Linked DNA regions of Canis lupus familiaris. The protein of the gene in region 5 purifies or fractionates together with the protein of the main gene of each other region. This does not show direct contact. Links are inferred from orthologs where the notes say so. Each region holds a gene or a part of one and is shown on either strand. Other genes may lie near its edges. The genes, in order: MIER1, RUNX1, EED, PHB, HDAC1, GATAD1 and E2F4.

Region 1 (3,986 bases), on a different chromosome or scaffold from region 5:
CTGGACTCAAATTTGATTCAAAGCTGTCTCCTCTACCCCAGCTTCTAGAAAATAGAAAAATTCACTATCTTACAAGCCTTAGATGATGAATCTGAATCTTGACAATTTTTACTATACCAAAATCATATTAATAGTTTAGATCTACTATGGCCTGTTTTATTACGTTATTTTCCTGAGGAAAGGAATATTCCCTTATGTCTCTCTACTCTGGGCTTTTGTTCCTTCATTAAAAATGAAATAAGGGATCCCTGGGTGGCGCAGCGGTTTAGCGCCTGCCTTTGGCCCAGGGCGCGATCCTGGAGACCCGGGATCGAATCCCACATCGGGCTCCCGGTGCATGGAGCCTGCTTCTCCCTCTGCCTGTGTCTCTGCCTCTCTCTCTCTCTCTCTCTCTCTGTGACTATCATAAATAAATAAAAATTAAAAAAAATAAAATAAAATAAAATAAAAATGAAATAATAATTCAACACCTACTCAAATAATCTATTATATATTTTAGACACAAAAAACAATTTAAGTTGAAGATAAAGTTTAAAGGAATAGTTTAAAAGATACAGAAACTTGAATTTATAACAGTTTAAGATGACTTCTAAGGTTGCTAGCTTTTTTCATAATTGCTGCATAGTGTAGGAATCAGGTAAAAGTGAAGAACACTTACCCAATGGGTCACATAAACAGTAACTCTGTGACCCTTGTTTTCGGTCTTCAGCCTCATTTTTCATTCATCATTCACTCAAATTAATTAATACATACTGTACAGGGCTAACCTTCCCTCCCATTCTAACTGACACCTTCTTTTACCATTCTAACACACTGAAAGACAGTCTCTCTCTTCTAAACATCTCCTTGGACCCCCAGAAATGGATCAATTCTGGCAGAAGACTACAATCCTTGGGTAGCCCAGTCCAGTCCAAGTTCATTTGAATACTTCATTCTTCCTAATAGAAACTCTGTAAGTATGAAATGTTCCCTTATTTTAATCAGCAACGATGTCAGCTCTTTTATAAGTCTGCTCCAGGCAAACCAAAAACTATAAACTATCACCACCACAAATAACAACAACAACAAAAAAGCCACAGGAAAGACTCAACAGTGTTAACTAAATAACAAGTACAACAAAGTGCAGAAAGCCCACTCAACATGATGTTCAGAGCTACTCTGCTTCCAAAGAAATGACTATTCATACACTAAATTTAAAATCAGACCTAGGAAAAAGAACAGCAAAAAACAAAACAAAACAATGCAGTTTTATAGAGCAAAATCGAGTAAGCTAGCTTAGTAAGAATGACTTCATTTCTTCTATATAAATGATTTGTTCTAATCAATTCTGCATGACATTTTGACACATTTTCCTAGTACCACTGCTTTGTAACAGCTTAAGATTAATTCTTCTACTCAATTGTATAACTAAGTTGTACAGTCATACACTTTTATAATTAAAAATCTAAATTACTAAAATCTACTTAACAAAACCAAAGCCTCAAATGCTTTCCCAAATATCTAAATTAGCACTAGTTAAAAATTTCAATTTCTATTCTTGGTTTGAGACTGATTTGCTCAAAAAAGTCAAATTCTTTCTATACCATTATTTTATTTTGTAAAAAAATATTTTTCTCACCTTGATGTATTAAGGGGAAATTTGAAACACTTAAATGTCACAAAAGGGCTTACCTCAACAATACCAATATACAGCTAGTAAAATAATACTTGCTTTTTAATATTAATTTACCTAAATGTTGGGAAAATACGGCTCTAACTACCTTTTTCCAGTCTTCTGATGGAATATAATCTTCATCTTCTTCTGATTCTTCTTCTATTTCACTATCTAGATAAAAGAAGATAGTATTAGAAAATAATTATTTATCCTATCCACATCTGTATATTATTTTTATATCTACTATCAAACATTTAAGTATGCCTAAAAGTATCTGCAGAATAGGACTAAGATATTTCTGACCAAATAATACCGTTTTAAACAAAGCAAAATAACCCATAAAAACTTTCTAGGATAATCTTAGAACACTGTATTCTCAGGAAATGATCTTCTACAAAAAAATTAATGGAATACAAAGTTTAAAAGGGTAATATTACATATGCAAGTTAAATCTTCCCATGGAAAAGCTAAGATAAGCAGTATATATAGAGCTTCTGTGCATACATCATAACTGACATACCAGATCAGAAGTATGAAATAAATATTGTTTTAAAAATGCAGTCACTTAGCATCCCACTTTTTTTTTTTTTTAGCATCCCACTTTTAAGCAAACTTTGGCAATTTACCTAAGAGAAAAAGGAAAAATACCAAGTTTTCCCCAAACTTAATATTAACACAATTTCAGTAATCTTTCCTTACACTGATACGCTTTTTAAGTGGATCAATCGTTGATCAAAATTCACAATAAAATATCATTAGCAGCACTACATTCACTGCTAAACTAAATACGTATCAGAAATCATTGACAGGAAGCAGTAGCCATGTTCAATCAATTATTAGATCGCTACATTTCATGAGAGGTTATTGTTCTTCAAATGTTTTTCTTTCTTTTAAAGCACAGAAATCCAAACAAGTTTAAATAACACTAATGGTTGCTTTTCTCTTATCAAAGAGCTGTTATCCATAGTAATGATTCCTGCTTAGAATGAAACACCATGGAGTAGATGAAGCATGCAAATATCCAAGTTATATACATTAAATGTTGTTTCAACTACTGCAGATCTCTGACTAGATCACAACCATAGTAAAATTAGAAGAGTTCTCTGTGTATAACATATTACCACCTCAAGAGTAAGCCAGTTTTTTGAGAACTGGGAGCCACTGATTAGAGAAAGCAATGCTTATGAATATAGCTTAAAAAGGCTAAGAGAAAAGAAAGTAGAAAATGAAAACTGAGGAAAAGACTAGATGAAATAAAAAGATGGTCATGAGACAAATTTAAAGAAATGTTGAGGAAGGAAAAAAGGAACACATTCAAAATCAAGTAGTGTAGTGACACAACAATCTCTGCAATCTACTCATAGACAACAAGGCCCTAACACTGCTAAATGAATAACCCAGAACAAAATACGTTACTGTTCAGCCAGATTTGAGAGTAAAATGAATTCAAACAGATGAATGGAAAAGAAGTGCCATTTTACATCATATATTTAGTAAAAATTATCCAAACATTAGCAACTAATGACACTTACTTGTGTCAAAATATTTACATCGACGTGGGCGGATTATTTCTTGGGCATCTTGAGAAGCAACAGATTGTGAGGGATCATCATTGGAAGACTGAGTTTCATCCTCTTGACCTGATGAGTCCTTTATATTCTCTTCCTGTAGAATAATAAACTTCTTTAAGATGTAAGGAAAATTGTTGCAGAGGAAAAGTTACAGTATTCCAAATAAACTAAATGGCTAAAATAAATACACTAAATGCAGTATGGTATTAGTGGAAAAACTGGTGAAATCTGAATTGCCCGTAGTTTAACTAGTATGGTATCAATTCTTACTTTTCATAAATATACCATGGTTACACGAGATATAAATAAATAGGGAAAACTGGGTGAAGAGTACAGAGAAACTCTATACCATATTTGAATTGCTCTATAAATCTAAAATTATTTCAAAACAAAATTAAAAAATTGAATACAAACTATCCATTAGCTTTTATTACTTAAAAAGCAGTAGTATTTTTTTTAAAGTTGGTATAAATTTATTTAGAAGAGGCATTCAAAAGAAATCTGGAATGACACAGATGAAACTATTATTTTTCAGGAGTAGGTTACAGAGGACTTCCAAAATTAAGAAATTTTTACTTCAACAAAGATAAAGACTACAATCTTAATAAATGTATATATTCTTACTTTATTTTCCCCACTACAGCCACTGTTATCATCATTATCAGCATCTTCATCATCTTCACCTTCTTCTTCCTCTTCCTCCTCCTCCTCATCTTCTTCAGGTAGTCGAATAGTACTATCATAACCATAAAGACTGAGAA
Region 2 (3,986 bases), on a different chromosome or scaffold from region 5:
TGGGAGGGAAGCGGAATGGCTTGGGTGTCAAGCCAGGGGTGGGGAGGGGAGAAGCATGGCAGCAGGCAGGCAGGCCGGGGTGGGGTGGGGGGGTGGGGGGGAGCTGGGGTATAACTTTGCCTACTTTGTGCAAACTCAGGACCTCGGTCCGGGAGGTCCGGGAGGTCGCGACCGGCCCTCAGTGCACGTCTTTGGGGGGCAATCGGATGTTTTTATCCCCCGTCCCCGTGCACACACACCCCCCCTCCCCCAGGATCGCCAGGGCAACCGAGCATCCCCCGAGTCCCGAGGGCAGGAGGATGGACCAGGGGCCGCGGGGGGCAGCGCCGGCCCCTTCCGAGGACCCGGCCCCGCCCGCCTGGCCGCGGGCCTCCCGGATCGCCCCCCGGCCTCCGCGGTCCTCCCGCCACCCGCTCCGGGCCGAGTACCTTGAAAGCGATGGGCAGGGTCTTGTTGCAGCGCCAGTGCGTGGGCAGCACGGAGCAGAGGAAGTTGGGGCTGTCGGTGCGCACCAGCTCGCCGGGGTGGTCGGCCAGCACCTCCACCATGCTGCGGTCGCCGGTCCTCAGCTTGCCGGCCAGGGCGGCGCCGGCGTCCGGGGCGCCCAGCGGCAGCGCCTCGCTCATCTTGCCCGGGCTCAGCGCGGTGGAAGGCGGCGTGAAGCGGCGGCTCGTGCTGGCATCTACGGGGATACGCATCACAACAAGCCGATTGAGTTAGGACCCTGCAAACAGCTCCTACCAGCCGGCGACGAGGGCGCGGATCCTCGGCGAGCAGCTCCAGGGAGACCAACATATAAGTTCAGGGGCCCTTTATTGCTGCAGGGGGGGCGGGGGTGGGCGGGGGGCTGGGGGGAGGCGGGCGGGAGACGAAGTCACTAACAGTCCCGGAGGGGGAAAGTTCTATTTTGCAGGGCAGCCTCCGTCCGACCCAGGCAGGGCTCCTAGCAACCGATCGCCTAATGCTTTAAAAAAAAAAAAAAAAAAAAAAATCGGGCGACTGGAATCCAAAGTCAAATGCCAAGGGAGGCTATCTTCTGAGTCTTGCTTTGAGAGTTTAACTTTCAGTCTTTGGCTGTTTAAAAAAAAAAAAAAAAAGTTCCCGGAGGCAAAATTCCCATACAGTTTCTAAAATATTTATACGCAGAGCAAACGAGCCAGCCAATACATAATTTGGAAGTTCCAGTAGTTAAACGCCTGTCAGGGTTTTTTTGTTTGTTTTGTTTTTGTTTTCAGGTGAGTTTTGCCTAAAGTCCCAAGACAACACAAAATATACGAGTGTCTTCCATATACAGAGCCACTTTGATCATGCAAAACCGGCTTCGGTCCTCAAAAGCAAGAGCTGCGACTTCCAAAGGTCATGCTACTAATGTATGTGCACGTATATATAAATATATACATATGCTCTACTTCATAAAATATTTACAATTCAATCTGTAGAGAATTTAAACACAACAGAAATCCATTAATGTTCGCTGCTGATTTTTTTTTTTTTTTAAGTAGCCTTGAAAATAAGCTTCAGTAGTTGAAGAAGGGCTGGGCTAGAAATACTTGTCATGTTCTCTTAATAAATTCTGGCAAAACGCTCAGTTCAGAAAACTCAGCTTTTCAAAGAAAAGCTAATCTTTAAAAAAAATGATGATGATAATAATAATAATAATAAAAGTCCAAGTCGATGACACTCAGAGTACAGCTCTCCACATCTGAGAACTCGGGTTTGGGGATGTTGGTTAAGTTTGTGGCTGATCCTGTGGTTGGTGGGAGCTGAGCCGCAGCCGGGTCGCACGCACGCAGACACGCACTCTTCCGAAGCCAGCCACTGTCTACACCGGCTCGGCGAGTCAGCCCGACTTGGGCCGTAGCGAGCTGATCTTCCTCCAACGTCGCCCCAGCGCCCTCGGCTTAGACGCCTGGACGCGCCTGTACCTACGATCACCGCGAAACCGCAGCAGGTGGAGCGGGCCTGGAGCGTGGGCTCCGCAGCGCAGGTCGGAACAGACGGGGTGGCTCGAGTTACACACGCAGTCACACTCCCACGCACACGGGCCACGCACACGCAACTTCACGGGCTCGCCTCGACGCGCGGCACACGTTCTCCCGCAGTTGTCAAAGGAAACGACCGGGGGAAAAAGTTCACCGGCAGGAAAGAAGTTGAAACATCCAGCCAAGAGGCCAGTTCATTCAAAAGTAAGAGAGAAAGGTTAAAAAGGAAAAAAATAATAAAAAATGAAAAAAATAAAAAATCGTAGCTCCAACGGCGGTCCAGGAGAAGCAGCAAGGGTGGCGTCCCCGGGAGCCCCGGGACGCGGTGCCTGTGGGCGCGAGGCCGGGCGGCGTGTGCCCTGCTGGTCCGGCTCGGGGCGCCCGTGCCCCTGCGCCCGCTGGCTCTATGAATGAGAGTGCCTGGAAATGAACGTGCTTTTACTGTAAGCCCGGCCCGAGGAATTCCATTCCCTCAGCTCGTTTGCATAGGGGCGGCCGCCGGCCAATCACGGGCCTTTCCGGTATCAGCCAGGGCGCGGCTCGCGGCCGCGGGCTCCTGGAATTGGCCCGCGCGCCCCCGCCGCCGCCGCCGCCGCGCGCTACTGTACGCCGCCCGCGCGGAGCGCCCCAGGCTGCCCGGCCTCCCCGCTCGCCCCGCGCGCCCGCATCCACGCACGCACCCCCGCCCGAGGCCCCGCCCCGGGGCGCACGCGGCCCCGCGAGGACGCGGAGAGAGAGGACGCCGGCCGGCGCAGCGAGGGCTCGGGCCGCGCGCGGTGCCCGGAGCCCAGCCGGAGGGGAGGCGCCCCTAGCGCCCTGGAGATGCAGCGGCCGCCGCGAGGCTCCCGGGCCCGGCGCCGGAGCTCACCCCCGCCCCCCCACCCGGGGCGGCCCCGGGTCCTGCGCGGCCACCCACGGCCGAGCTTCTGCTTCCCCAGCGTGGGTGGGATTCGGCCGCGAGGGGGCCGGAGAGCGGCTCCGCGCGCCACCGTAGCCATGGGGGTGGGGGTGGGGGCAGCTGCAGAGAAGTGGCGCTGATTCATTTAACGAGGCCAGAAGGTTCTCGGTCTCCACAACATGGTTTTGTGTTTTTAGTTTTCTCTCTCGGGTCGGTTTGCTTTCATCGGTGTTTTTCACCGCGTCTGGGCTGCGGCTTCCTTACGCACCGCGGCCGCGCTCCGCCGGGCTGTGCTTCGCGGGGAGCAGAGGAGGGTCCTGATCCGAAAGGCGACCCCGAACAGCCAGCGACGGGGAAGAAAGTTGAAAGCATCCGCTGGGGCGGCCCCCGCGCAGGCCGCGCGAGCGCCCACCGCCGGGCCCAGGTCGCCCGAGCCCCGCACCCACCTCCGGCTCCCCGGAAACGGCGCTGGCTCGTCTCCCCGCCCCCGCGCGCCGGAGCGGCCCGGGGTGCTGCACCCAGCCTGGCTTTGCGCGCGGGCGGGAACTTCCCCTGCGTCCGTCCCCGCGGCGCCGCGGGCATTTTCGCGGAGCTTAGAGGGCCCCGCCCCGGCGCGCAGGGCCCGTTCCCCACCCCCACCCCCCGCGCCCCGCGGCTCCCTGGCTCCCCGGGGAACCCACCCGGTGCCCCACTCCCAGCGGCGGGGCCGCCCGTCTCCCGGGGGAGGGCGCTCATCCCCACCCCCAACAGGGGACCCTCCGCTGCAGCTCCCCGGAGCAGGGGTCCGTCACCCGCCCCCCGCGGGGCCCCTCCGGCCGCCGCCTCCTTCCCGGCTGCGGACGCGCGGCTAGGGTGCTGGGGGCGCCGAAGCGCCGGATTCTCCCTCGGCGCTGCCTCTGGGGCCTAACGGAGGCGTCGGCCAGGGCGGGCCAGCCGGGGGGGGGGGGGGCCCTTCCCGGGCGCGCGGGCTGCTTCCCTGGCCCCAGGACCGGAGAGGCCGCACGGGCCGCTCCGAGCCGCCGGGAGGCTGGCGCCGGCCCCGCGGGAGGCGCTGCGGGCCGCGGGCTCGGGGCGGACGCCAGGGGGCAGCAGCCGTCCTCGCTGCC
Region 3 (3,631 bases), on a different chromosome or scaffold from region 5:
AGTATTTTTTAACTGACTAGACAGCTCAGTTAATTCATTATGTATTCCAACTCTACAGATTTTTATTATTTATTTTTAAAATATTTTATTTATTCATGAGAGACAGAGAGAGGCAGAAACAGGCAGAGGGAGAAGCAGGCCCCTGGCAGGGAGCCCGATGCAGGATTCGATCCCGGCACTCCGGGATCAGAACCTGAACAAAAGGTAGATGCTCAAACAGTGAGCCACCCAGGCTTCCCCAGATTTTTAAATATAATTACTATAAAGTTATTATAGAAGAAACACAAAGACTTAGGAAATACAATGTCTGAAATATAATGTCTGATACATAAATGTCTGATATGTAACAAATGAGGTCCCTAAGTGGCTCAGTCAGTTCAGCGTCTGCCTTTGGCTCAGGTCATGATCCCAGGATCCTGGGATCAAGTCCCACTTTAGGATCCTTGCTCAGCAAGGAGTCTGCTTCTCCCTCTACCACTCCCCCTGCTTGTGATCTCTCTCGAATAAATGAATGAATGAATGAAATCTTTATAAAAAAGAAGCAACAATGTATTTAGGGTACATCTGAGTACTATTCCAGCTGCTTCACTTATTTAATCATTTGATCCTTAATAACCCTATGAGGTAGGTATTCTTATCCCTGTTTCACACAAGAAGAAACTGAGGTAGATGTTAAATTACTTAGCTCAGCTCATGTTTGCAGAGCCAAGACTAAAGTCCGCTTAATCCTAGAGCTTACACTTAATCACTACATTATATAGCTTTCTTCAGTTAAAAGGACTACAAAAATGATCATTACAAAAAAGAAAGGGAATACTTTTATTACTTTCAACATTTCTTTTTATCACAATGAAAATAAACACACAGCTTTACAAAAATAAATTTTTATTAAAAGCAGTAGAGTCTGAGCAGAAGACAGTACAAAGAATGTAAACAATGTAAACATCACTACATTCAGCTCAGCCTGATTGAATGCTGAAAGACAACTCTAAATGCTCTATGTGCCCTTACTAGCAAGATACATTAATTCTATTATACACAGAAAACACACTCTAATTTTGATAAGGAAAAAATATTTTATCGAAGTCGGTCCCAGCGCCAAATACTGGCATCATCACAAACAGCTATAAGAATACTGCTATCCCTGCTAAAACTGGTTTGTCGAATAGCAGCACCACATTTATGATGAGTCAGTGTTGTACATCTAGGAAAAAACAAGACAATAGGTTAAAAGCCATTCATAAATATTGTCAGTAGCAAATTAAACCAACGAATAAGAAAACAAACAGATGTTCCAAGTCATATGGAAAGCATTTAAAATATCACTAAGAGCTCAATCTCTAATTTCATAACATTTGGGTATATTTTAAATTAATAAAAAGAAAGGTGTAACTTGTCACCAAAGTACTCATGATAAACAGCCATTATGAGAATAAAAAATATTTTTAAATAACTGAGTCATATAAATGTTAAAAATGATTTAAGAATGATACTTCAAGGGATCCATGGGTGGCTCAATGGTTGAGCGTCCCAGGTTGTGATCCCGGAGTCCTGGGATTGAGTCCCAATCAGGCTCCAAGCACGGAGCCTCCTTCTCCCTCTATGTGTCTCTGCCTCTCTGTGTCTCTCATGAATAAATTAAATATTGGCATAGCGTTTGAGAAAAAGACAGAAATTATCAATAAAAATTTCTAAATACTTACTTAGCTTTATGAGGATCTTCCACTTCTAAATCCCAAACATAAAGTTTGCCAACCTGATTGCCCAATGCAAGCATCTGTATAAACGTATTTTTAAAAACACCAAATTATTAAAATAGGCTATAGAGCATTCAAATATTCCTAAGATATATTCATATTTCATAAAAACCTCAGTTCCAGACTATGGCTATACTCCTGATTATTTCTATTTCTTTGTATCTTATACTTCTGATTCGTAAATGGATAACAGCAACTTATACTTCAGAGGCATCCTGAGCAAATTAGAAGGCAAATTTATGAAGGACTTTACAATTTACATTGTAGCAAAAGCTACAGACAGCTCCTCCAAAGTTTTCTTATAGAAATAAATACCCAGATAATTTGTTACTACAAATTCATAACACCAATCTCTAAAATTTCTCTAAGCTTTTCTACAAAAAAGCTATTTAAAAAGTTAACATTCAATCACCATAACATTAAATCTTAGTAACAGATGTTATGGAAAGTAAGCACCATTGCCAAGATTGACACCTGTCAACTGCATTTATAATACGCACTGCAAATGGTGTGGAGAGCCTACTCTATAAAGATAGAATAAATAACATCAACGGCTAAAGTAATCAATCACTACAAGATATCAAGGTAGATTCTTAGAGGAAACTGAACATGGATGCACAACAGAGAAAAGTGAAATTACAATGGTCTGAAGTAATTTTAAAATGTAGAAATATGTTGCTACCTTTTGCCAGAAATCCATAGAAAACCTCATGTACCAAATGTCACACTGGCTGTAATCGAATCGCCCAAGAATAGTCACATTAGACTCACTGGGTTTAATTTTATCTATATCATCTTCCATTTTGCCAGGTTTCCAGCACACAATGGCATTTTCACAAGACTTTAGAAGACAGAAATGAGAAAAAATTGTTACATATAGAACTGAAATTTAAAACTTAAAACAAAGCCTTCTTTTCTCTATTATCTTTTTAGAATTGACAGTCTTAAGACCTGGTTATCCATCTAGTAGATACAGTGATATACATTTATTTATATTTACAGAGTCAAGGTCCACACTTGAGGATAAGAGGTCATCTTACAACAGAATTTGACAATATTAAAAAGCATTATATTATCTGGAATATCCATTTTGAAGTCAGAATTTCTTTTCCAAACCAAATTCAGCTCTCAATACTCTGGCATCCAGAGACTTGAGTGTTTTATAACATTTGTTATAAAATATAAAATATAAAATTAAAAAATATATATATAAAATTATATGTTATAAAATATAAAATTATAATTTATAAAATTATAAACGATAAAATTATAAAAACTCTATACAAAAATATGCTTTTCAGTATGGCCCCTGCTTAGAGGCCTTAAAAATCATATTATATAGAAGGTAATAAACTCAGTGGTTTAAATCAAGACATTGATATGGGGATACGACTGAAATAGACTAAGTTATACTTTTCTTATTCTGTAACATAGTATCTTTGCTGAAAAAAAACTGCAACACAGTGGGCACTATTCATATTATAGGTCAGTGGTGTGCCAATTAAGGAACATTTGGCAATGTCCCTGGCCTTTAGCAGGTAGAGGCCAGAGATGCTGCTACATCCTACAATCAATATACAGGATGGCCCCTCCCATTAAAAATAAAGATTGTGTAGCCCAGTATTTCAACAGAACCTGGACTGAGAAATTCCTGTTGGTAGAGAGCTTTCCGGAGTTTTACAGGACACAGCCCACACAGCCACATGTTGCAGCTCTGCCCGTTTCACTAACATATGAATGGTTCAAAAGCAGGGCCAAAGGAAGATTAGGGAGGGGACAACACTTCCCCCCATTTTTCTTCTCTTTTTTAGATTATATAAAATCCCAGGGCTATATATCTGATATACAAGTTCTTTACTGTAAAGTACCTTAGA
Region 4 (4,525 bases), on a different chromosome or scaffold from region 5:
AAAGAAATTAATGATGGTGACTACTGTCTAGTTGTGCAGAGTGGCTACAAAGATAGCACAGAGCACAGAGCTGTGCCACTTAAACCAAGTAAGCTTTTCTTGTCAGCTGCTGTCTCTGCCTTATTAGACTTCAGAGTTGCTCCAAATATCTTCACTCTGAAAAGTAATCTTCCTCTTGCCAGACAGTCACACATGAGGCAGATCAATCTACTGCTGCTTCCCAACCATGAAAGTCAGAAAATATGAGTTGGAAGCAGTCTTAGAGGTAAAACCAGTTGAGTCTTACTGTTTGACCAAAAAAGAAGCTGAGACCTAGAGAGGGGGAAATGGCTTGCCTAAGGTCACAGAAGAAAAGTCAGCTTAAGCTCCTGCCTCACTGTTAAAAGCTGGGCAATGGGCAGCCCAGGTTGCTCAGGGGTTTGGTGCCACCTTCGGCCCAGGGCGTGACCCTGGAGGCCTGGGATCAAGTCCTGCATCAGGCTCCCTGCATGGAGCCTGCTTCTCCCTCCACCTGTGTCTCTGCCTCTCTCTCTCTCTCTCTCTGTTTCTCATGAATAAATTAAATCTTAAAACAAAACAAAACAAAACAAAACAACAACAACAACAAAAAAAAACAGGCTGGACAATGCAGGTATTTTGTCTGGAATGATCCAAATGCAGCAGAGTAAAAGTTCCTGCTCAGGTAAGGTCACCAAAGGTGACCACACAAAGCAGAAGGGGATACGTGAGATCTCCATTTCAGCTAGCCAGTGAGATTATTTAATCTATTTAATTTAGCCAGCAATTATTTAATCCTCACACCAGTGAGATCCTGACACTGTGCTGCAGCATCACTTCAAACCTGTAAGAGCAACTGGGAATGTTTAACCAACAAGTAGGCTGGGAAGCTCTTTGGGAAGAGAGGCTGTGAGAGAACCAATGGCTACAGGACAGAGGCTCAAGTGACAATGCAACCATATGGTGTAGGATGGCAGCAGGTGACCCTTTGGGTCACAAACATATTCACAGACAGTGGTGGCCACCAGGAGTGTCACATCGGCTGTGCAAGCCAATAGAAATCCTCCGACAAAGGGCAGTGACTCCCTTCCCCCAGTACCTCACCATTATACAAGGCAGAATTCACCACTCCTCCTGCAACAGCTAAGGCCAGGCCGAACTTGCCAATGGACTCAAACACTTTGGCAGCCATATCTCCTTCTGCTGGACCCACTCACACCTATGGGATAAAAACAAAACAAACAAAACATCTTGATCTCAAAATTCTAAGAGAAAGCCCTGAGACACCATATTCACTTCTCAAACTGGCTATTTATTTCCCCACTTTTTTTTTTTTTAAAAGAATTTATTTATTTGACAGAGAGAGAGAACCATGTGCACAATTGTGCAGAGAGGCAGTCAGAGGGAGAGGGAGAAGCAGGCTCCCCGCTGAGCAGGGAGCCCAATGCAGGGCTCGAACCCAAGACTCTGGGATCATGACCTGAGCTGAAGGTAGACCCTTAACCAACAGAGCCACCTAGGTGCCCCTATTTCCCCATTCTTCAAAGCTCTAAATCTCGCATGGAGGGACATCTAATAAATAACTCTACAGCTTGGAAAAGTGCAGTATTAATTCCTCTGCTTTCAAAATTTTTCCATTTCTTCTTTCTTTTTCTACCACTAAGGAAAAGGGGTCTGGGGACACTTGATTCAATAACAGGAATGAGGTATGGGCTTGCTACCCACAGAGAATTTCACACCACACTAAACCACCCTTCCACTTCCTGGACAAGTGGGCCCCAAGACGAAGGTTGTATATGGTAGGGTCTGTGCAATTCTGGTTTGGAAAAGTAACTCAAAGAATGTGCTACATGGTGATTCCAACAGCATAAGTGACACTAGCAGCTACCTTTAATACCAGGAGGCAGTCTTCTAATGGCAATTATTTAACCCTCACACCAAACCCTATGAAGCAGGTTATTACAGATGAGGAAACCGAGGCACACAGCAAACTTACAAGATAAGCGGAAGATCACAAAGCCATTTCGTAGTGGAACCAGGACTAGAACCTGGAGGTCTAAGTCTAGGGTAGGTATGACTTAACTCCTCACCATACTGTGAGGAGTATTTCTCCGCTCCAGTATTAGGAATGACCTGCCATGGGGCACCTGGGGGGCTCACTGGTTGAGCGTCTACCTTTGGCTCAAGTCATGATCCCGGGGTCCTGGGATCCAGTCCCGCACCAGGCTCTCCGCAGAGAGCCTACTTCTCCCTCTGCCTGTGTCTCTGCTTCTCTCTGTGCGTGTCTCATGAAATTAAAGTCTTGGGAAGAAAAAAAAAAAAAAAAAGAATGATTTGCTATGATGGTAGCAGGATCTGGGGAGCATCCTGGGACCAAGATACCGGAAGAACCAATGGGGCAAAAAGGCTCTCCAGAGATGCACTGCAAGGGAGAGGGCGGGGCTAAGGTCACGACGGACCTAACTTCAATCTACTCCCGCACACAACTTTATTAATGCCCCGCCCCAGCGTCGTCGTCCACTTAGATTCAAATCCTCCCCCCTCCCTCCCTCTCAGATCTGAGGCTTTCTTGATCGCTCCCGGTGTGCTTCACTGTTCCTAACCTGAGGCCAGGACACACAGTTCGGACCTCTCAGCTTTTCCATTTCCAACAGCTTCTGGATTATTCCTCACCCCGCCCCCATGCACGCCTCCCTTACACGACGCAATTCCTGGCTGGTCCCGGGCTCACCCCCCTCCCCTCCGACGCGAGGCAGACCGACGCACGCATCCTGCCCGCCCAAATTGCGAACGGGAACGCGGAGCGGAGCTGCAGAGGCGCCCGAACACCAGCCGAACGCGTTCCCTCCATTCTCACCTGCTTCCACTCTGACCTCCACATGAATTCCCCAGCCACACGTACCGCGCATGCGCTGGGCAGCCCCTTCTCTTCCCCGCCCCCTTTCCAAGATCCGGGCCTCCGATTGGTGGGAAAGAGCGCTGTGCATTCTGGGAAGGGTGGCTTGCGGCCTCACCCTGGTTCCCCTGGTCTTCGCAAATGAACTACAATTCCCAAAGAGCCATTTAATGTCGGGCCCGCGCTGGAAAGCCTTTCCTCTTTGGTGGGTAACGTCGAAAGGTTGTCGCAAAGCCTTTTGGGGGCTGTAGTTTTTTGGGGATAAATGCACGTGCTTGTCCTGAACCTGTGCTAGAGCCTGCAGGAAGGTGGACCTTAGGGCCCTCGGAAGAGTCGCTGGGCATGCGGATGGTGGCGGCAGGGATGGGCTGGGACAGGTTTATGGCTGACGAAGGAGGACGGGTGGACACCCTGGGGAAAGTTGTAGGTAGATAACTGGTGGGCTTAGAGACCTTGAGGGGAAGCACACGGGGCCACCTTTCCAAAGCCTTGTCAGGAAGTGTCCTGAGTCGCGGGACATTGGTTACCACAGCCAGAGACTACCTTAGAAAAGAGGTTCTAGAAAAAGAGGAAGGGATTCATTCAGGGTCATGCACCAATTTAGCAAAGGGGCTGGGCTTAGAGTCCTGTGTTCCCTGTACACTATTAAAAAAAAAAATGGAAAAGTGGCAAGAATAAAACAACACATATATCCCTTACATTCATCTATGGCTAACGTTTTGTTTCATATATTCTATCATTTGTGATGTGGGTAACAAAAGCAGAAGAGAAATTATTAAATTTCCTTACTACCTGCAGTCCATTGATAAGTCCTTAAAATAGGCAGAGTGATGTTCCTCTAAGAGCTCTACTATCTCCATCTTAATACTTTGCTAAGGGCAAAAGGGAATCTTAGCTCCACCCCCAGGACTCTGTAAATCTACTTTAACATATAAAAATTCCTTTGGAAATTTCCTTTTTCTCCCCCCTCCCCCCTCCCCAAGATATGTGCTGGCAATCATTCCCCAAGCATATGACCCACCGATACACATCTGAAGGGTCTCATGACTAAGGGTTTATTAGACAATAATAGATGACTTTTCCCAACAATAGGCAGCCCCCTCAAGATCCTGGAAACCCTGCTTCCAAAATTCCATAGAGACGCACGCTATCCCTAACCCCCTCCCAACTTGAAAGCATATAATGGGCCCCTCCTCAGGACCCCAGTACAGCTCTTTCTGCCCACAGGTCCTGCCCCTGTGCTTTCATATATCCAAAGATGTAGTAAGAATTCTTTCTTGGCTGTCGGCTTCAATCCCTAACATCTTTCCTCCATTAATTTGTTCTCTCTCTCTCATTTCCCATCTTATCTCTGTGTATTTTCTAAGAATAGGGGCATCCTCTTATATAACTTAAGTAAGCCTATCCTCTGCATTCCAATTTTATCCATTGACCCAATAATGAACTTTATAGCAATTTCCACACACCCCCACCCCCATACAGGATGCAGTCTAATATTAGGTACTGTATTTATTTCTCATGTCTCTTTAATCTCCTTTAATCTGAAAATTGTCCTCAGCCTTCCTTGTATTTTATTACATTAAAACAAACAAAAAGCATATTTCTCATTTTAAGTTTGTCTGATGTTTCTTC
Region 5 (3,986 bases):
ATTCAACAAAAATATACTGAATGAGGGGATCCCTGGGTGGCGCAGTGGTTTAGCGCCTGCCTTTGGCCCAGAGCGCGATCCTGGAGACCCGGGATCGAGTCCCACGTCGGGCTCCCGGTGCATGGAGCCTGCTTCTCCCTCTGCCTGTGTCTCTGCCTCTCTCTCTCTCTCTCTCTCTGTGTGTGACTATCATAAATATATATATATACTGAATGAAAGAGAGAAAGAGGGCTTGAGGTAACTTTTGAAGATGAGTAAAATATGACTGGGCAGAGTAATCCTCCCAGTCAGGATGGGGTAGAAAGAGGCAGAATCTGATCTGAGGGTTCTGAGAGGGGAGTGACAGAAAAGGAGGCAAGCTAGAGCCAGATTAGCAAGGTATAGATGTATAAGAGGGAACTCTGGAAGGTCTCGGCGCTCGCTATTCCACATTCAGGTATCCTCTTTTTATCTAAATGCTAGTCTACTCCCTAGAGTCCCTCAAAACCTCTGTCTGCTACCTTTTATGTTTTTCATTCTCAGATGCCTTTCACACCTGACAAAGGTCTCTGGTCCCACATCTGCCTGCTCCTCTGTCTACCTTCCCTCCTTGCTTCCCCAGCTGCCTCCAGTGGCTCTAGGGACATAACAGGGCCATCTGAGACAGAAGACTCATCTCCTCTCAGTCTCTGGAATGGTGAGGAAGGATACTGCTGTTGCTAGGTTACTTAAGCTGCCAGCACAGACTTTAACCACAGACTCTTAGGCTCTAACCATAAGGCAACATAGGCTCCCAGCCCTTCTTTATTTTCTCATTTGGACCTTTGCAACAGCCTAACTGGCTTCCCTACTAAAATGCATGCCTGGAGGCTCCTGACTGGCTCAGTTGGTGGAACATGTGACTCTTGATCTCGAGGCTGAGAGTTTTCACCCCATACCGGGCAGATTACTTAGCACCTGGGTGGCTCAGTCGGTTTAAGCATCCAACTCTTGGTTTCAGCTCAAGTCATAGTCTCACGGTTGCAGGATCAAGCCCCATGTGTGGCTCTGCACTCAATGCGGTCTGCTTCAAATTCTCTCTCCCTTTCCCTCCCACCCACTAACTCTATTTTCTAAAATTTAATTCATTTTTTTAATGTATTTGACAGAGAGAGAAAGCACAAGTAGGCACAGAGGGAGAAGCAGGAAGCCTCATGTGGGGCTCGATCCCAGAATCCTGAGATCATGACCTGAGCCGAAGGCAGACACTTAACCGACTGAGCCACCCAGCTGCACCCCCCCAATAAATAAATAAAATATTTTAAGAATAAATAAAAATAAAATGCATACCTGTTTTATCTCTCTTTGATTTAAAATCCATTACTTGGGGATGCCTGGCTGGCTCAGTCAGTAGAGCATGCAACTCACCATCTTGGGGTTGAAGTTTCAGCCCCACACTGGGTGTAGAGATTACTTTAAAAAAAAAAAATCTTTGGAGCACCTGGGTGGCATAATCAATTAAGTGTCCAACTCTCAGGTTCAGCTCAGAATACGATCTCAAGGTCTTGAGATCAGGCCCCACATTACAGAATAATATGGATCCCTAACTTCTCTTTAAAAACTGATGGTGGGGGCACCACCAGTGGAGGCATCCCTCTCCATATGCTTGTGCTCTCTCTCTCAAATAAATACAATCTTTAAAAAATAAATAAATAAAATAAAAACCGGTAGGTGGGCAAAAATCAGACGGAACTGAGTCAAGCAGTTTAGAGTCTATGCTCTCTAGTAATTAGGGACTTGTCTAGCTCAACATAGTCCCAATTGCTCTTTTTTTAGGCATTGGATTTTTTTTTTTAAATCCTGGCCCATCAGAGTTGCTTATTACATAGTACAGCATATCCAATCCTTGCTGACCTCTCCAACTGTAGGTCCCTTTACTCACACCCGTGAGACCTTTACACTATAGCACTACCTAGAAACTACTCATAGTTTCCCCAAACACACCATACTGTTCTTACCTCTTTGCCTTTTTGTTTACACTCTTCCCTTGGTCTAGAATGTCAGTCCCCTCCTGAACTCCTGGCTAAATTCTATTCAATATTTAAAATTCTGCTCAGATAGTACCTCCAGGAAACATTCCAAGGCTTCCCTTCCTCCTTCACTTTTCATTATCTCTGTATCTTGTACATTATTTAATTGTACGCCCTCAGACTGTAGTACAATTTATTTGTGTACCTGTCAGTCTCCAGCACTGGAGCGAACCCTTTAAAAACAGAAATCTCTTTCAATGTCTGCCACATAACAGCCCATTCGACACATCTGATGAATGAGTAGTTGAGAAAATGAGATAACATAACTAGAGCTGATGGGGTTAGGGAGTGGTGGGGGTCCCAGTAACTCACATAGATTTCCATTTTTCGGTAGAGACCATAGTTAAGTAGCAAATTGTGAGTCATACGGATTCGGTGAGGCTTCATTGGGTGGCCTTGTCCATAATAGTAATTTCCAACATCCCCTGAAGAAAAAAGAGTGACAGTTTCAGTGACACAGTTAGACATACACTCCCAGGAGAATCCAGGAATTTTTATAACCATCTCCTAATCATATTCTTTCTCTTTCGTTCTAGTCCCCAAGATTCTCACCCACCTTGAGGAAGAGTTAACTCCAAAATAAAAATAAAACAAACAAACAAAAAAAAACAAAATAAAAATAAAACAAAACAAAACAGGAACAACAAACAAAAAAAGCAGGGGACTCTGGTGAGTCCAGCACTTAAAGATATAAGCCTAGCCGATGGGATCCCTGGGTGGCACAGCGGTTTAGCGCCTGACTTTGGCCCAGGGCGCGATCCTGGAGACCCGGGATCGAGTCCCACGTCGGGCTCCCGGTGCATGGAGCCTGCTTCTCCCTCTGCCTGTGTCTCTGCCTCTCTCTCTCACTGTGTGCCTATCATAAATAAATAAAATTTAAAAAATTAAAAAAAAAAATAAGCCTAGCCGACAGGCACTACACAGTGTAAAAACGGTTCATTCCAAAGCTACTGGAGAATAGCAGGCAACAAGGTGATTCACCTCACCGTATCTGCAAAGAATTCACTCCCACAACAGAAAAATAACCATTACTATTCAGAATTATTATAAGTCACAGTTCACCTCTTTCATATTAAAACACTTTATGGGGTTAAAGCACATTTACATTTACTTTCTTAATGGATCCTCAGGGGCAGCCCTGGTGGCGTAGCGGTTTGGCGCAGCCTGCAGCCTGGGGTGTGATCCTGGAGACCCAGGATCGAGTCCCACATCAGGCTCCCTGCACGGAGCCTGCTTCTCCCTCTGCCTGTGTCTTTGCCTCTCTCTCTCTGTGTCTATGAATAAATAAATAAAATCTTAAAAAAAAATTAATGGATCCTCACAAGAACCTGGTAAAACAGGAGTATTATTCCTATTGTATAGATAAGAAAACTAAACTCTTATCATCTCTAGCTTCCTCTATAGCAATAGACTTCTAATTGGTTCCTCTGTCTTCAACTCAAAACTATCTGCCACACTGACCAGTTATTTTTCTAACACACAGCTTTAATAACACCATTCCCCTGCTCAAAAACCCCTAATGACTCCCCATCTTCTACAGGATAAAGAACAACTTCACTAGCCTGGCATTCAACTCACAACACTCCCTCTCCTGCTCTCTCCCTCTCCCAGCTCTCTACTCTAAACAGAAAAGGCAAACTATGGCCCTTGGGCCAAATACAACTAGCTGCCTGTTTTTTTGTAAATAAAATTTTATTGGAACACAGCCAAGCCCATTAGCTTAAATATTGTCTATGGCTGCTTTCACATTATAATAGCAGAGTTGAGTAAACAGTTGCCACAGAGACCCACCCATATAGCACACGAGGCCAAAAATATTATCTGGCCCTTTACAGAAAATCTGCTAATCTCTGTCCTAAACACACTGGATGATTATCAGCATCCTGAACATGGCATTCACCTTCACACCCAAGTAGTCTTTGTTAAGACTGTTCCTTT
Region 6 (4,659 bases), on a different chromosome or scaffold from region 5:
CCCTGAGGCAAAGGCTGACCCACTCAGGCATCCTGTGGAAAAGTATCTCTTTGAAGACATTTTCCATCTCAACTACGGTACTAGTTGGGACCCTTGTCATCAGAGGAAATGTTCCAGGGAAGCTGAACTAAGACTATATGCAACTTCCTTGGCAGTTCTTAGTTATTTACCACCACCCACCCATTACAGCAATCCCTTCTTAAGCTGCAGTACATGCTTATATGTCACAACACAAAAACCAGGCCTCCCGAAATGTGTCTTGGTATCATCCTTGAAGACAGGGGTTGCTAGAGAAATAGCTACTGAAATAACTGCAGAGCATATTCTACCACAGAGGGAAACATGTGGTGATGCAACTATCATCAATCGCACGTTGACTTAACATGCTTTGTTAGCAGGTGTCTCATTTTAAGAAAACTAAATTAGAAAAGTCTTAAATAAATTAGGGGCAACTGGAGGATCCCTGGGAGGCTCAGCGTTCTGGAGCCTGCCTTCGGCCAGGGCGTGATCCTGGAGTCCAAAGTTGAGCTCCCTGCATGGAGCCTGCTTCTCCCTCTGCCTGTGTCTCTGCCTCTCTCTCTCTCTCTCTCTCTCTCTCTCTCTCTCTCGGTCTCTCTGTGTCTCTCATGAATAAATAAAATCTTAAAAAAAAAATTAGGGGCAACTATTTTCAGTAAGAAAAGAATCTGCAATCTGCACAAGAATTTACTACAGGGGGAATGCCTGGGTGGCTCAGCGGTTTAGTGTCTGCCTTCGGCCCAGGGCATGATCCTGGAGTCCCACATTGGGCTCCTGCATGGAGCCTGCTTCTCCCTCTGCCACTCTCTCTGTCTCATGAATAAATGAACAAAATCTTAAAAAATAATAATAATAATTTACCACAGGGCCCCTCTGTGTTTTACAAGGGAATATGCCCAACTTCAGAACTTCCTTTAGTGGTAAGGGAAGCATTCCTGTTCTGAAAGAAAAGAACACCGTACTGAGGTTTAAAAAAAGTCGTCTATAATGCACTGCCCACTGTGTATGGCCATTTTCCTCTTGTGTTTACAAAAATACTGAGAACTCCATGCAACAAAAGGCACTTTCAACTACTCCCCCGCCCCACACACACATCTTCCAACCATCTATTTTTTTATAGCAGCAGAAGGTTTAGCAAAATTTTTGATTCACATTCATCAAATTGATTATCGTAAACTTTCTGGGGCTGTAATAAACAAATGTGGAAATGAATGAGTTCCAGTATTATTTACTTAGATCTTTAAAGAATCAAAAAAAAAATTTCTTCCCTAATATATCTGGCCTTATCAAGAACCATAATCCCACCTCTTCCTTTGCATGGAGGACCCTATAAAATGCATTCAAGATTTATGTTTCTTTTTTTCAGACTCAAACCTTTTATTTCCCAGCAGGAAAAAAAAAAAAAAAAGCTAAAAAAATAGGATATTATTAACTATAAATAGTATGTATACCTCCTGCAACAGAGCTCACTTCCTTCCAGCAAGTGTGGACCACTCACTCCCCCAGGACACTGCGGAAAGGCCCCGGAAGAGCAAAAGTTCAGATGGGAGATGAAGGCAGTGACAGGACACACTACACACACAAGGCCATTACTGTAAAAGACACTGTCCACAATCATCTTACATTTTTTAATTTAAAAATATGTCTTCTCCCTTTTCCTTTGGTGGAAACTTTCTTTTCAGCAGCTGGAGCAGATTTGTATTTAGTGTTTCTCAGCCGAGCAGACCTTCTGTGAATTTCCTGCTTACTCTGTTACAGAAACAATTAAAGAACAAAAAAGATCAAAGTCGTAGAAAGATTGCTGTCCCCATTCAACCATCTTCCGGGGACTCCAGAGTAAGCCCCTTACGCTGACTGACCTTTCAAAACCACCCAAGAATGTGCCTTTTCTTTTGCCGCTGGGAAAAAGTACCTCCGGGACTGGGCTGATTACAACAGGGAGCGCCCTAGACAAGCATCTGCAGAGCCTCCAAAAAGGTGTCAACTCCTTACAACAGGGCCTGGGGGAGGCGTCGGAGGGAAGTCCAGGGCAAGGGGAGGACTACTTATTTGTTGTTTATAGTCCAGGAGAACTCTCCGACCCCAGGGAGCACGTTGGGTATGGCCCTTCCTGCAGTGGGATACTTACCGTGCTGTCATTTAAAACAAGGACACGATAATCTTACTTAGTAACATAATAAATTAACAGGGAAGTCAGTCCAGCAGCACGGCCCTATTTACGTGTGTACACGTGTGAGATGTCTGGTTACCACCGCGGATGTCACTACACTGAGGGGGGGGGTGGGGGTGGGGGGACTTCTGAAGGGTCTTAAATTTTCTTGCTCCTTTACACTTTCAATTTCTCACAATAATAGAAGGTGCTCCGCCCGGGCCAAATCTACACAGTCGCAATCCCCGCCAGGCGGGAGCGGGCGGGCCTCCCCAGCAGGGTCACCGCGCCCCGCAGGGACCGCGCCCCCCGGCCGGCCGGCCTCCGCGGGGGGGCCCGGAGGAGCTCACCTGCTTGCCGCCCCCGCCCCCGTTGCTCTGCGGAGGGGCGGCCGAGGTGCTGGCGAAGGTCGCCGCGCCGAAGCCGCCGCCGCCGCCACCGCCGCCGCCGCCGCCGCCGCCCCCCGTCCCGCCGGCCGCCCCCGAGCCGCCGCCGCCCGCGCCGCCCGCGCCGCCCCGGCCCGTGCAGTGGTGGCAGAGGATCTCCCCCTGCGGGCCCTTCTTCCACATGGAGGACGACGTGGTCTTGCAGACGCTGCAGGTGGGCTTCAGGCCCAGTGGCATCGTGGCGGGCTCGGGCGGCCCCCGCGGGCGCAGCGACACGGGAATGGCGACCGCCGGCTCGGGCCGCCCGCCGGCCGGCCCGCCACTCCCAGCGACAGGAAGAGCGGCGCGGGCGCCGAGCGGTCCACGCAGGGACCTGAGGGCGGCCGCTGCCCCCTGGAGGCAGGAAGGCGGCGACACCCGCTCCGCGACAGGCGGCGGCCGCGGCGGCCCCAGCGGCGGGAGGCGGGGCCGGGGGCGGGGCCTGGCCCGCGCGGCTTCCGGCGGTGGGTGGGGCCTGCGCGCCGCGGCCCCGGCCCTCTGACCGGAAGTGCCCCCTCGGGCTCCCCGGAAGCGGACCGTGGCGGGGACCCCCGTCTCCCTCTGCGGGAGGGGCGGGCGGGCTTTTTTTTGGCTTTAGGTCTGGGATCGGCCGGGGAGATGCAGAACGCCGAATTCAACTTGAATTTCAGAGAAACCACGAGTGCCATTTTGATATGAGTGTATCCCATGCACTATTCTTGGTTTCTCTGAAATTCAGATTTAACTGCGGGTGCTGTGTTTTTATTTGCGAAGTCTGGCACTCCTGAGGACGCCTGTACGCTGTTGAAGATTACAGTGTAGACCCCCCAGATACTTGTGCTGAATGTGTCGTGTCTATTGACGTTCATGCATTAGTTGAGACACATTTTAAAACATTTAGGATGGGGCAGCCCGGGGCGGGGGGACGGGGGGCTCCGCGGTTTAGCACCGCCTTCCTGATCCTGAGACCCGGCATGGCATCGAGTCCCACGTCGGGCTCCCTGCATGGAGCCTGCTTCTCTCTCTGTGTGCGTCTCTCATGAATAAATAAAATCTTTTTTTTTTAATTTTTATTTATTTATGATAGTCACAGAGAGAGAGGCGCAGAGACACAGGCAGAGGGAGAAGCAGGCTCCATGCACCGGGAGCCCGATGTGGGATTCGATCCCGGGTCTCCAGGATCACGCCCTGGGCCAAAGGCAGGCGCCAAACCGCTGCGCCACCCAGGGATCCCAAATAAAATCTTTAAAAAGTAAGAAAGCCTACGATGATGTCAAGCAGATGTTCCTTAGCTATTGGGTGGTGATGTTATCCCAGGTCCTGCAGCCTCTAAGCCGTAGGCCGCTGAGAGCATGAGGGTGGAAAGCCAAATAACTGATTTGGCCTAGGATGAGAGCATTATGACAAGCCAGCCCCCCTCTTATCCAAGTCGCTGGTCTGAACAGGCCTCCCCAGAGAAACGGGTCTCTGCTTTTCAGCCTCACTTCATAGTGTCCTACCTGTTTTCAGGATGCTGGATTTTCTAGACTTGGCATACTAGGAGGCATCTCAGTGAATATGCTGGTGGCATGCCTCAGCGAGAGAAAGAAAAATAAACTGTATTGAATGCCTATGATGTCACAAAATCACATTTAGTACATATGACCACCTTGAAAAGAGTTATTATCCTTATTTTGTTGACTGATGACTAACGGAGGAACCATAATTTGGACCGGCTGCAGATACAACTTCTGCTCTGACACCACATTCAGAAGGCCTTCAAAACAGCCCTGGGGTCTGGGCTGTGACTTGGGCATTCTTTTTATCTTTTCAAATGGGTTTTTTTTTTTAAAGATTTATTTATGCATGAGAGACACACAGAGAGAAGCAGAGACATAGGCAGAGGGAGAAGCAGGCTCCCTGCCGGGAGCCTGATGAGGGACTTGATCCCAGGACCTTGGGATCACTACCTGAGCCAAAGGCAGACGCTCAACCACTGAGCCACCCAGGCATCCCAGTTTCCTTCTATTTCTATTTTCATCACAAACGTGTATACTTTTATCAAATGTTTTTTTCTGTGAGAGGTTCATAATACTTTTCCTAGAGTGA
Region 7 (4,589 bases), on a different chromosome or scaffold from region 5:
GCACCCACACCTTGTGCTTGTCCAGTTCTTGCTCCCGCTGCTGCAGCTCCTCGATTTCAGCCTTGAGCTCAATCAGCTTGTCCGCAATCTCCCGGGTGTTGCAGCCAGGCCCCACACCCCTGAGCCCAGAGAGTGGGGCTGAGAGGAGCTGCCAGGAACTCTGGGTCCCGTGGCCCCTGCTCTCTCCTGTGTCCTCCTCCCCACACCCCTGCCACTTCTGGGTGGGAGACGCCATTGCTCTCCCGGGTGCCCCCACTCACTTCCACTGGATGCTATTCTTGGATTTTTTCTCGATCAGCCCGATACCTTCCAGGACGTTGGTAATGTCGTAAATCCGCCGCTTCTGGCGCACAGCAAGGGTGTCAGCTGCCTGGCAGACAGAACAGAGTGCAGGATACTCAGGCCCACTCTCAGGTGTTCCCCCAGCTACCTTGAGACCTAGTCTGGAAGGGTTCTGGAAAAGGGGTGGCCCGAGTCCCAATCCCCCTCCCAGGCACTGCAGCAGCTCGGGACCGCGGGGCAGAGGAGGCCCGGCACCGTCTGAACTGATGTCCCCACACCAGCCGAGGAGGGCCACGAGGACCACCGCCTGCAGCCCAGAGCCTGGCACAGAGCGGACGCCCAATGGCCCCGGCTGAATGAATGAAACCGCTCCTGGCCTCCCGCCTGTGAGAAAGCACACGGATGGCGCTTTGCCCTCCGAGGGCTCAGCGGGGCCGCCCCAGGGGTTCCCACTACCGGTCCGGGCCTGCCTGGTCCACCATCCTCCCGGGCGCCCCTTAGCCCAGGCCGCACCAGCTTGAGGTCAAGCACGCCGTCCTTGGCCTCCTGCAGAAGCGACACGAACTTGGTGGTGAGAAGTCCCAAGCTCTTCTCGTGCCGGCTTGGGGTGCCCGGGGGCGGCGGCGCCTGCGGCCCGGCCTCCGCCATCGCTCCCGCCCGCCGCCTCCCCTCAGCCAGGCCAGGCCAGGCCGGCGCCGCCGCCACTTCCGCTTCCGTTCCTGGCCACCCGGCCGCCGGCGCCAGCGCCGCTGTTTCCGCTTCCGCTCCGCGCCCTCCCAGGGAACCCGGCGCAATTCCTCTCTGCGGACACGGCAGCAAAACTTCGGGGACCATCAGCAAATGTCCAACCGCCGAAGAGGACGAAGACAATCCGGGGATCCCGGGAGAGGGGACAGGGTCCAGGGGCAGGTGGAGGAAGTCAGGGGGGCAGCCCCGGCAGTAGAGAAGGGAAAGCCGCTAGAACCTTCCAGGCATACCCAGCCTGTCCCCTTTGCGGAAGAGGAGACCACGCTGCTTGATGACCGCAATGTGTTTCCCCCAACCTGCTCCTGGAAGCTGTCCCAGTGTCTTGGTTTAACTGACCCCATTGCTGTCCTTCAGTTCCTGCCAAACAGCCAGCATTGGGTACAGCGGGCCCACTTGTGTCCACTCCCATTCCCCTTCCCTGATCCCAGCCTCATCTTTCTCTCGTCCCCACCCTGCAGTACCCAGAGACCATGGAATTGTAACCATCTTCCCACCAATGCAAACATGCTTACCTATGCGCACATGTCAGTAAAGCACTTAGAGCAGTTCCTGGCAGGTAGAAAGGGTTAGGTGTGGCTAGTACCGTTTTGTTATGTTTGATACCATCAATATTTATTATCATTTACTTTAGGTCAGGATCTCTGGGAAGCCGACTTTGAGACAGGAATCTGTCTGCAGGGAAGTTTATTGAGGATCCACATCTGTAAGGGAGTAAGACACGCAAAATTGAGGAGAAAGGTGAATTAAACTGTGATGCAGTTACAATAGAGGTCTCAGGCCATCCTGTTAGGAGCCCTGAAACCGAGGTGGGGCCCTTCCAAGGTGGTCCATGTCCAGACAAGGTTATCAGGCCTTTGTGCCCTGACTTTGAGTGAGAGACTCAGCTGTGACATCTTAGCAACCTACGTTCCGGACAGCTAGGGGAAGAAGTGGCGTGGTCCCGCAGGGTGGATTTGGGTGGTAACCAGCATCCACTATATTATTACTACCTGGTGGTCCTCTCCATGGCCCCCTGTAACTCTCAAGACAAACACAGCTTTCAGAGCCCTCCTACCCCTCTCTTACCATCACCCACCACACACCTTCCTCACAACAGCCTCTCAGTTCTCTGCAGGGGTGCCTACCCTCCCTCTGAGGAGCCATCAACACAGTTTTCCTACTGCGATGTTGTCTGCACCCATATTTGCACACACTGCTCTCTACCCCAAATTAGGGCCTTCTAGTTCACATGAGTCTGTGTCCTGAGCACAGGACGTAAGAGGTCCTGGATGGGTTGGGCAGGACTCCTACACCCCCTCCCCCCAAGGAAGTGGCGCCCAGCCCTCCCCACCCCATCCCACAATGCAGATGCACTTTCCTGTTGGGAATAAAGGGCCAGAGACTCAGCTTCCTTCCTTTCTGGGCATTTGGCCTTGGGGAAGGAGGGGCCTTCGAAGGAGGAGGGTGCTCCTGGGCAGGGGAGGTGGTACAGAGGCTTCCTTGGGGAGGATTCTGCTGCATGCTGGGGTGTAGGCTGGAGCCACCCAGGCCTCGTGAGCCAGTGAAGAGAATACCCTGCTTTGCCCTGAGGACTGGGGGAGAGGGCCATCCTCAAGGCCAAAGAGTGTTTTCAAAGGAGAAGGAACTGGATGCCTGGTCAAGCCTGGTGAGTTCCATACTAAACCATCCTCTGCAGTTCAGAGCTGGAGCTGGGGCCAGCAGGGGCTTGAGTCTGCTCTGCCTCACTTGGCATCTGCAGGGGCAAAACTGAGAAACCCAGTCCTCCCGTTTCCTGAGGGGGCTGGGCAAGAAACCCCCTCCTCCTTCTCAGAGGGGCCTAGACCGAGGCTGCAGCTCACAGGAGCACCCATTCTGCCCACTCTAACCCAGGCTCTTGCCCCGACTCCTACCTCATCTCCAGCTCCTCCAAGGACTGCCATGGACTCAGCAACCAAGGATGAAATGCAGCCCTCAATTCCTCCCGGTAGGAGCCCTTCCGGGTGGACTAGGGGAGGGATGGTGGCCAAAAAGATGGCATTGGTGGGGTTGGGTCCTCCTTGCCAGGTCTGGCCGGTGCTCTATAGGGCAGCAAGAGGAATGGGTCAGACTGCCCTAGGGGGACAGGCTAGGAAGTAGGAAGGGGAACAGGTTTGGGCCACTTCCCATCGGCCTTGCCCAACTGACGAGGCTGCCCAGGCTCTTCCTGCCCAGGGCCTGAGTGGCCAGAGCAGGAGAGGGCGGAGCAGCTGGCCCGAGGAGCAGCACTCAAATGGGCCTCGGGCATCTTCTACCGGCCGGAACAGCTGGCTAGACTGAGCCAGTACCGCAGCCGTGAGGTTCAGCGTACCTGCTCCTTGGAAGCGCGCATCAAGGTGGGCATTGGTCAAGGGAAAGGAGAGCTGGGGGTGGGCTGCCGGCCTGGCCAGGCCTCACAGGCTGCCTCCCTCCTTAGTCGGTGGTGCAGTCCTACCTGGAGGGCGTGAAGATTGGTGTGTGGCAGCTGGCCCAGGCTTCTGAGGCCTTGCAGGCAGCCCGTGAGGCCCTTGGCCAGGCCCATGGGTTGCTTCAGGATCTGGCAGAGACCACACAGACCCTAAAACCGCTGCGGGAACAGGTTGCACAGCACAAGCAACTGCAGGTCCTGTCTCAGCTGCTGCCCCGGCTGTGGGCAGGTGAGTGTGCAGGGGCCCTGGGCCTCAGCCCCTCAACAGTCAGTCAGTACATGCCCATTACTGACCAAAGGGCGTCACCCTTAGATGGGAGGGACACCCCAGGGACCTCCCAGAGAGTGACTCAGGTTTCTGATGGCAGAGGAATCTGGATACAAATCAGCTCATGCTGGGATTGTCAAGCATGCGTTGTAGGACTCAGGGCTGAGACCCAGTCAAGTGGCTCTGACCGCCCTGGTTGCAAAGTTATTGAAATGATTCCTTAATAGGATGGGTAAATAGCCACTAGCAAGGGTCCACGAGTTCTTCCCTGCCTTGCCTCCAGGATCCCTGACTTCCTCTTGCTCCATCAACTCAAGAATTTATATCTGGCCCAGTAGGCCTCTGGGCCCTTCTCTGGGTCCTTTCAGATTGGTCAGTGCTCTGCTGTCCTGGTTATTATGCATTTTACACATCACTCCAGCCCTAGGGGCCTCAGTATCCATGGCTGTGCCCATTGCACAGGTGGGAAGTTTGAAACTTAGGGCTGTTTCATCTTCTCCCTTCCTAGTGCCAGCAGCAGTGGCCCACACACGGACCCTGATTGATGCCCAGCAGCTCTTGGAGGCATATGCGTGCCTTCGGGAGCTGGAGCAGCTACAAGAGGAGACGTGGGCACCTCTGGGGGGCCTGGAGCTGCCAGTCTTTGAGGCGCTGGGCCCTCTGGCTGAGGCTCTTGGCCAGGCTGTGGAGGTGGCTGCGGGGGCCGCAGGGCAGCTGGCACGGGAGGACCCAGCCCTGCTGGTGGCTGCTGTGCGCATAGCGGAAGTCGATGCCGGGTACACACCCTCCCTGGAGCTGACCCCCAGGGACTGGCGGCAGCGTTGTCTGCAGGCATTACAGGAGGGCCTGGAGAGAACCCACTTTGGGACA

The links.
Region 1: the proteins of HDAC1 (region 5) and MIER1 purify together in Homo sapiens (co-immunoprecipitation; 8 studies listed by BioGRID and IntAct, counting the BioPlex papers as one, with this or other methods). This does not show direct contact. The link is inferred for Canis lupus familiaris from reciprocal best matches to the Homo sapiens genes HDAC1 and MIER1.
Region 2: the proteins of HDAC1 (region 5) and RUNX1 purify together in Homo sapiens (affinity purification with western blotting; 4 studies listed by BioGRID, with this or other methods). This does not show direct contact. The link is inferred for Canis lupus familiaris from reciprocal best matches to the Homo sapiens genes HDAC1 and RUNX1.
Region 3: the proteins of HDAC1 (region 5) and EED purify together in Homo sapiens (co-immunoprecipitation; 4 studies listed by BioGRID and IntAct, with this or other methods). This does not show direct contact. The link is inferred for Canis lupus familiaris from reciprocal best matches to the Homo sapiens genes HDAC1 and EED.
Region 4: the proteins of HDAC1 (region 5) and PHB purify together in Homo sapiens (affinity purification with western blotting; 4 studies listed by BioGRID, with this or other methods). This does not show direct contact. The link is inferred for Canis lupus familiaris from reciprocal best matches to the Homo sapiens genes HDAC1 and PHB1.
Region 6: the proteins of HDAC1 (region 5) and GATAD1 purify together in Homo sapiens (affinity purification with mass spectrometry; 5 studies listed by BioGRID and IntAct, counting the BioPlex papers as one, with this or other methods). This does not show direct contact. The link is inferred for Canis lupus familiaris from reciprocal best matches to the Homo sapiens genes HDAC1 and GATAD1.
Region 7: the proteins of HDAC1 (region 5) and E2F4 purify together in Homo sapiens (affinity purification with western blotting; 4 studies listed by BioGRID). This does not show direct contact. The link is inferred for Canis lupus familiaris from reciprocal best matches to the Homo sapiens genes HDAC1 and E2F4.

Annotation. Positions count from the first base shown.
Region 1 is NC_049226.1:43,892,934-43,896,919, forward strand, and holds part of MIER1 (mesoderm induction early response protein 1), read right to left. Parts: coding exon 3,850-3,986; intron 3,320-3,849; coding exon 3,187-3,319; intron 1,826-3,186; coding exon 1,761-1,825; intron 1-1,760. UniProt on the Homo sapiens protein: Transcriptional repressor regulating the expression of a number of genes including SP1 target genes. Probably functions through recruitment of HDAC1 a histone deacetylase involved in chromatin silencing.
Region 2 is NC_049252.1:29,932,210-29,936,195, forward strand, and holds part of RUNX1 (runt-related transcription factor 1), read right to left. Parts: intron 683-3,986; coding exon 429-682; intron 1-428.
Region 3 is NC_049242.1:13,356,888-13,360,518, forward strand, and holds the end of EED (polycomb protein EED), read right to left. Parts: intron 2,599-3,631; coding exon 2,440-2,598; intron 1,778-2,439; coding exon 1,704-1,777; intron 1,205-1,703; coding exon 1,078-1,204; 3' UTR 869-1,077; downstream 1-868. UniProt on the Homo sapiens protein: Polycomb group (PcG) protein. Component of the PRC2/EED-EZH2 complex, which methylates 'Lys-9' and 'Lys-27' of histone H3, leading to transcriptional repression of the affected target gene.
Region 4 is NC_049230.1:25,486,147-25,490,671, forward strand, and holds the start of PHB (prohibitin), read right to left. Parts: upstream 2,892-4,525; 5' UTR 2,855-2,891; intron 1,217-2,854; 5' UTR 1,190-1,216; coding exon 1,102-1,189; intron 1-1,101.
Region 5 is NC_049223.1:68,324,497-68,328,482, forward strand, and holds part of HDAC1 (histone deacetylase 1), read right to left. Parts: intron 2,474-3,986; coding exon 2,361-2,473; intron 1-2,360. UniProt on the Homo sapiens protein: Histone deacetylase that catalyzes the deacetylation of lysine residues on the N-terminal part of the core histones (H2A, H2B, H3 and H4).
Region 6 is NC_049235.1:17,995,600-18,000,258, reverse strand, and holds the start of GATAD1 (GATA zinc finger domain-containing protein 1), read right to left. Parts: upstream 2,883-4,659; 5' UTR 2,791-2,882; coding exon 2,518-2,790; intron 1,768-2,517; coding exon 1,642-1,767; intron 1,529-1,641; coding exon 1,470-1,528; intron 959-1,469; coding exon 880-958; intron 1-879. UniProt on the Homo sapiens protein: Component of some chromatin complex recruited to chromatin sites methylated 'Lys-4' of histone H3 (H3K4me), with a preference for trimethylated form (H3K4me3).
Region 7 is NC_049226.1:82,760,476-82,765,064, forward strand, and holds the start of E2F4 (transcription factor E2F4), read right to left. Parts: upstream 3,144-4,589; 5' UTR 2,993-3,143; coding exon of another isoform or gene 2,899-2,992; intron 2,675-2,898; coding exon of another isoform or gene 2,528-2,674; exon of another isoform or gene 2,402-2,527; intron 1,731-2,401; 5' UTR 1,542-1,730; intron 1,433-1,541; exon of another isoform or gene 1,387-1,432; 5' UTR 1,117-1,386; coding exon 796-1,116; intron 371-795; coding exon 261-370; intron 120-260; coding exon 1-119. Other genes in the region: EXOC3L1 (exocyst complex component 3-like protein), read left to right, coding at 2,528-2,674, 2,899-2,992, 3,205-3,380, 3,461-3,680, 4,228-4,589. UniProt on the Homo sapiens protein: Transcription activator that binds DNA cooperatively with DP proteins through the E2 recognition site, 5'-TTTC[CG]CGC-3' found in the promoter region of a number of genes whose products are involved in cell cycle regulation or in DNA replication.